Linked DNA regions of Saccharomyces cerevisiae S288C. The gene in region 1 interacts genetically with each later gene. Each region holds a gene or a part of one and is shown on either strand. Other genes may lie near its edges. The genes, in order: JLP2 and HXT1.

Region 1 (3,375 bases):
ACTTCATCTGGCCCTAATGGACGAGACATATGGGGTAAGTAAAGCTCCTGGATCTTTTCTTTGTTGCCTTCGGATTGGTCCTTTTGTACTAAAGTTTCAGCTTCTTCTTGCTTTTTCCTAAGGTCATCTTCGTCATTAATCTCATCATCGCCATCAATTTCAATAATTTCACCATCACTATCAAATTCATCACTCAATTGTTCTTCTAGGTCATTCTTGGGAGCATCTTGCTCTTCAGAGGCGGGAATAGCAGGAACAGAGTGAGATTCTGTTTTAGCAGAGACCACTCTATCTTGTTCCTCGTTGACCTCGATAGACCTTTTCGACATTATGGTGCTATTTCCGTGTATATGAAAACGGAGAGTAGGTGATATAACTATTTACCTACAAATTCAAACAACTACAATCCCTATAAGAAATGATCATCTCATCGCTAAATTCAGTTGGATTTTATTTTCTGTATTTTTCGCTGAAAGGAAAAAAATTTTCACGGCTCGAACGAAAAAAGAAACGTGATCACGATGTAAGTACAAATGGTACTCTATTTTGAAGCGTCTACGTTATGTAGATGATATCATACTTCCAGTTGCATATCGTCAGTAACCTCATCTTTAGACTGTTTGTTCTTCTTCTTTTGGTTTTTTTTCGCTACTTTCCTTAGCTTTTCTTCTTCAATAAGATTTGATCTATTCGACTCAATATAGTTTACAAAAAAATCACCATTTTTGGTCTTCTTTGCTTCGTTAAGTGTAGCTTCCACATTATTAAATAGTTCTACCCTTGTCTTGGCCAGTCTGTTTAGTATTTTGTTATCTCGTGCTCCGCATTCCATTTTTCTACATTGTCTTAGAGACTTAAATGATACTTCACCGGGATTCATATACCTGTTTTTTCTCAAGTTATGCCATGGTGTTATCAAGATGGTGCATTGTGGCATTTTGTTTCCTTGAATGGATTCTGATTTACATAGCTGCAGACAGTCACATATCACTTCTTGCGGTATGTCATCGATTGTTTTTTCATTTGGGCGTAACTTTAAATAAACATGACCACTTGAGTACTTATCCGCGTGAAACCAAACATAGTTTAACTCCCTATAGCTCCATTTGATAAGTAGATCGTTTTCAAACTTATCTTTGCCCATCACAATTTGGTAAGGTGTTGAATACTCAGTTGGTTTTGATTCATAGAAATACACCATTGTTATTGAAAAGTTGAATTTCAATTGAGCCTTATAATTCTATTCGCTTACTTTCTAAATTTTAAGTATAAGGCAGTCCTCTGGTCTACAGAGTTGTTTTGTTTTTTTATCCAAGTTCTTTGTTTCAATCTTATTGTAGTTTTTTTCCATTAAAATATTAAAGCCTAGGATAATCTATATCCTAAACTAAATATAAATTAAGAGTATAAAAGATGAAAGTAAATAGCATCTAGCATTCAGAAAAAATAAGAAGTCTCTTTTCAAATGATTGATCGAGCACAACGAATGTTTTCAAACCACTGTTAATTTTTTTATAGATGTAATGACTACTTATATGTTCTACGATGTGATTTTGTAGGAATAAAATAAAATTCAGTTTACCGTCTGCATATTCATAAACACTTAAATGACTGTTAAAGTATTCAGTATTTTAAATAATAATAACATAAATTATTAATACATACTTAAATACGAAGCCCATTTTGGTGGGTTCCTGAAAGAATATCAACTTTTTTTTACTAATAGAGAATTTCGTTACAAGGTGGGCGGCTAACTTATAAAAAGCAAAGGAGAAGGTTTTAACATATCGTCAAGTTAAGTTTGAAAGAGAGAACTAAAATAAAAAAAAAGAGAAAAATGTACGAGTACTGCTCAGTTGTAATAAAGAAATACTCCAAGTATACAATTCCCTCCTTCGCTCCAAATGGTTTTCAATCAATGCTTGAGCCTCCTCAGATAGACAAGTGGCAACACCTTTCCGCTAACTGCACTCTCCAATTTCGGGTTCTTCTAATGGACTCTAGACAAATTCTGATCAATGTGGTTCTCAATAATTCAACACTTCTCGAAAATATTCGCCTGCCGCTGGGGGATAATCAAGATTTAATACAATTTTCATGTAAAAGCCCCATAATCTCTTGTAAATATATCTCCGAAGAATTCGGACCCAGAATGTTAAGGAGGTTTCAGATGAATTTGCCAAATGACGTTGAGTTCAACAGGACTGTAGTTTCTTTAAAGAACCTTAATTTTGTTTTAAGGACAGCTAGGACATCAATAGCCCAGAGTACAATAACAAGCCAGGTGCAAGGCAATAATAACGGTACAAAGGTCTGTTTCACAGAAGGTCCAAAAGTTAGTAGCTACACAAATCCGAACACGCAATTTCAAACTCAAAACATGATTATGGATTTCAGTCAACGTTATCAGGAAGAATCTGAAAGAGAGTCAAATAATCGTTCAAATATAACTTTACCACACGACAGCATTCAAATAGCTCAACAAATATGGCCAAACACGGATTTAAATGTAGTACAATCTTCACAAGACCTCAACACTCCAATGGCTACGCAAACTGTTTTGGGTCGTCCTGAGTCGCTAATTGTACAGCCATTGGAGGTTTCTCAATCTCCACCAAACACTACCAACTGCCTTCCTAATGCAGAAAACAAAAAGAAAAAAGTCGACACCACTTCTGATTTTACTTCAAGAAAGGAGATTGCTCTGTGTAAAACTGGTTTATTAGAAACTATTCATATACCAAAGGAAAGGGAAAGTCAGATGCAAAGCGTCACTGGTTTAGATGCAACACCAACGATTATATGGAGCCCCGGGAAAGACAACACGGCGAAGAAAAATACCAGTAATAAGAAAAATATTGATGATAAACTAACAAACCCCCAAAAATCTGGAAATACACATACCCCTGATAGAAATAAAGAAGTGCTACCTAACGGCACACTTAATGAAACGAGGAAAGAAGCATCGCCAAGCGAAGGATTAACGATAAGAGTTAAAAACGTTAATCGGAATGCGTCAAGAAAAATATCTAAGCGGCTAATCAAGGAAAAGTTGAAAGACGAAGAATTCATGAAATGGGTATGTATGCATTTGCAAGAAACTGAGCTGTTTCCCCCTCTTATCCACTCATTTTCTCTGACTTGACAAAGAAATACTAACTAACAACTTTTGCCACTACAAATATGAATGAAAAGGTTAATAAGGTTGAAACGGTTCTCAATAAAATGTTCGAAAAGTGAACCCTTTTTTTGCAATTCCTTTTTACACTAGCCACGAAGTAAAATGGAAAAGTAAACCCGAGTTTCGGCAATATCGCTAAGCAAGAAGAGCAAGCTCGTTTAAGTAAGCCTTTATGAAAAAAAAACAAAATATAA
Region 2 (4,162 bases), on another chromosome or scaffold:
TAACCCTAGGGCTTTTCATTCTTTTATCAATCAGAACATTTACATGAAGAGGGCTGGAATAAAAAAAAAATATTCGGTTCTCCTCCATGCATAATGACGTAGTATTCTTATTGGCGCCAAACATAGTGTCATAATGCTTTTTCAACGATTTTAAAGTAACTCTTAGTGGATTGGAAAGGTCGCCTTTTCGATGGTAGCGTGCATTTTCTCGTCATTTTTTTTTTACTTGTCGTCTTTTCTTTACTGCTTCACCTCTTATCAAGCAAGTGTTTTTCGTGTCTCCCTGTGCCAGTCAGAAAATACATATGATTGGCAACTGTATATCCATTGAGATCGACTCGGTTATCTGTTAATGGAAATTATTGCTAGTAATTATAAATACCTAAAAACAACATCCTAACAGGCTTAAGTAACACTACTAGATGTTGAAGCAGCAGCGTTGTCAATTTCTATTCATTTGACATTTTTCCGAAATCATAAGCGGGCGTTTGAACTATGTATAGCGCCTATGTGGTATTAACCCATACTATATCATATAAAATTTTTCCTCGGAAGAGTGCCAGAATGAAATTTCTTGTTCCTTGGTGAAGGTCAAGAACTAGCAAAGAAAAGAACATCTGTTTATGAATTTGACAAGAATTTTGTTTTAACACCAATATAATATCACCTTTATAAAATTTACTGAGAAATTAAATACTGTATAAGTCATTAAAATATGCATATTGAGCTTGTTTAGTTTATTTCCTGCTAAACAAACTCTTGTAAAATGGTTGGTCATCATGCATTAGGTCATCAGCGTTGTAGTCAGCGCCTCTCTTGGATACTGGAACCCAGGAAGCTGATTTCCATGGTAGAACACCTTCGGCGTACATATCATTAACTTCTTCTAATGATAAACCTTTAGTTTCTGGAACGAAGAAAAAGACGTAAAAGTAAGCGAAAACCATACAGCCCATGAAAACGTAACCGTAGTAGAAGTTGATGGCACCAGTAATAAATGGGGTGAAGAAACTAATCAAGAAACCCCAGATCCAGTTAGCAGCACTGGCAATAGACATACACTTGGATTTGACTCTTAATGGGAAACATTCTGAAATAACAACGTAAGCAATTGGGGCCCAGGTAGTAGCGAAACAGAAAATGTAGAAACATGCGAAAACAATCATACAGTTACCAGCACCCTTTGAAGATGGTTGATCTTGACCGTTTGGCCATAATCTGGTAACACCAACAGAGGCATAGACAACATAACAGCAGACCATACCGACAGCACCCCACATCAAACAGTTACGACGGCCAAAACGGTCAACGGTGTACAGAGAACAACAAGTGGAGAAGAAGTTGACGACACCAAAGACAATAGAAGTTTCAAAAGAGTCACTTAAACCGACAGCCTGGAAAACAATGGTACCGTAGTAGAAGAAATAGTTATCACCAGTTAATTGTTGTAGAGATTGAATCATGATACCCATCATAGTACGTTGAAACATGGCTGGTTTACCAGTGAATAATTCGCCCCAAGATGCAGTACCAGCGGCTCTCATTTCTTCGACACTGGCTTCGATAGTTTCCAACTCATATTGAATGTATGGATGGTCAGGTGGGCATTTGTTAACTTTAGCTAAAGAAGCCCTGGCTTCGTCGATTCTGCCAGCTTCAACCAAATAACGTGGAGATTCAGGAACAAACATCATACCACCAATCATAAATAAGGCCCAGGCGAAACACAAACCTAATGGAACTCTCCATTGGACAGAGTTTGAGTAATTCTTGGTACCAAAATTGGTACAGTAACCTAAGAAAATACCTAAAGTAATCATGACTTGGTAACATGAAACCAAGGTGCCTCTCATTTCACTGGGGGCGACCTCAGATATTAGCATGGGAGATAAAACTGTGATACCACCGACACCTAAACCAGAGATAATTCTACCAATGAAATATTGGTACCACTTGTTGATCGAGGCTATTTGAATAATGATACCGATAGTGTAGATTACTACAACGACAATCAAACCGATTCTACGACCATACATATCACCTAGCTTGGCTAAGACGATACCACCAATGGCACAACCAATGTTAAAAATAGAGACAATTAAACCAGTTCTCACCTTGGACAAGTAATGACTACCGTCGTGGTGCTTCATACCAAATCTTCTTAGAAAATCAGTTTGAGCAACAAAACCAGAAATGGTACCAGTATCCCATCCAAATATGAAACCACCGAAAGCAACCATAACACAACAGATAGAAACCGTTACGTAGACACCTTTTCCGGTGTTTGGAGGGGCAACGGCGGGTTGCACTTGACTTTCACTTAAGTTGTCGTGAAAACTTTCATTTTTACCTTCTGGAGTATTCATGGCCTTTGAACGACCAGATTCCAATTCATATGAGTTGGATGAATTGGATTTCTGAGGAGATATTAGATCGGGAGTTGAATTCATGATTTTACGTATATCAACTAGTTGACGATTATGATATCTTTATAGATTTTAAGGTGGGGAAAGAACATGAGACCCCAGATGGAATTGATTATGGGGACATTGTTGCCTTTATATATAATTTCAATATACTAATTCAAATGATTAAAAACGTGAGGGGGACACGCAACTTCGGGTGTTAAGAAATATTTTGCTACATTAGATAATGGTGGAGTTTCCTGGCTTGTCGGATAAAAGCCATCAAATGTCGCAGCAGCTCATGTTTACGTTTGCTGTCTTCTGCCCACGTCATATGAGTGGTATTCTTCTATCAGCACTTGATGAATATTCTTTTTCTCATATATCTGAAAGACAAAAGATCGGCACGGCAATGCCCTGCAGCATTTCTTCCTAGTTTTTCCGAATTTCCATTACGTATTGGATCTTGTGCGCATATTTGTCAGTCCTTCACGGAAAAAAAAAAAGAGCACTGGGTCACTTCGGAAAAACTTTTGACTCAATGCAACAGTGTCATAATCCTTTGCGCTGTCTCTTTGAAGAAAAATCAGGAGTGCAAGATATCGATTAATTCCTTGGAAGTTATGATGGTTAGTCTTAGTTTAACTCTCTTGAAGAAGGGTTTTTTCAGTTGGTCAACACTCTTTAGAGGTAAAAAAAAAAAAAAAAAAAAAAAAAAGAGAATTCTTCATGTAATTTACCATGATTCTACGTTTTTGCAAGCAAAAATGAAGATAATCCGAGCGCATGCGCAAGTAGTCCCTGCCATGCCGCTTCGGAAAAACTTTCGAAACCAATACTCCTTACATCCGCCTTGAATTTAGGACCTACAATTGTTGTCTCTTCTGCTTGAACCAATAAGCCCTAGAAACCTTACACCCTAATTTGCACAAGAAAACTACGAAAAAATTTTTTCCTCTTTTTTCCGCAGCTCCAATCTCGCCCTGCTATTTTTTTGGTTCGGAGAAAAATAGTCGGTCGATATGAATTGAAGTTTCATTGTGGCCACTCGTTTAGGAATGGAATAACCTCCGCGAATGGAAAAAAAGAACTCGGAATATCAAAAATTCCGGCTCAAAGGAAAAATTTGCTTCAGGAGGGGGGAATTATATTCCAGATGAGACCTGCAAGGATTTCTGTGTGAGGTTTTCTCGGAGGAATAATAGTTTTCCAAAAATTACTTTTGGCAACTACGTGAATATAATTGACTACGGATATCCTTCGAGAAGGCCATAAAAAGAACCGTGACAGGGCCAAACAGAAAAATAATGAAGACAAGTTTGCTTTTTCTCTCACTGTATTTGAGGATCGGAAGCTTTTTGCACTGAAAATATTCTGGGTTAACAAGGTTTAAAGAAGCAAACTGCCACAAAGTATATGAGAGTATAACCGGACGGTACCTATACTTTGAAGTTGGAATAAATACGGGGTAGACAAAAAGGATGTGTTTCTGTATGTCTGATGAGAATGATGTCATCAAAGAACGTAAACAACAGTAACTGTCTATATTCTTGCTTTTTATTATGCGCTGTTACAGCAGGTAGCGGAGTTTTCAGTTCTTTCCCTAGTATGTAGTATGAAGGATAATACGGTAAAAGAACGGGGCTCTTGATTCATCATATAAATTTATTTTCCCCTGTTGAAACCTCGAGTAACCGTCCTCACTGTTTTATTACCAAGGATGAGCTCGAGCAGTTGTAAGAGAGAAGTGGGCAGAA

Evidence for each region.
Region 2: mutations in JLP2 (region 1) and HXT1 together harm fitness more than expected from each alone (negative genetic interaction), as found in Saccharomyces cerevisiae (2 studies listed by BioGRID).

What each region holds. Positions count from the first base shown.
Region 1 is NC_001145.3:534,370-537,744, forward strand, and holds JLP2 (Jlp2p), read right to left. Parts: upstream 1,202-3,375; coding exon 575-1,201; downstream 1-574. Other genes in the region: ribosome biosynthesis protein RRB1, read right to left, coding at 1-329; REC114 (Rec114p), read left to right, coding at 1,838-3,079, 3,196-3,240.
Region 2 is NC_001140.6:290,176-294,337, forward strand, and holds HXT1 (hexose transporter HXT1), read right to left. Parts: upstream 2,451-4,162; coding exon 738-2,450; downstream 1-737. UniProt on the Saccharomyces cerevisiae protein: Low-affinity glucose transporter. HXT1 is as well involved in the transport of mannose.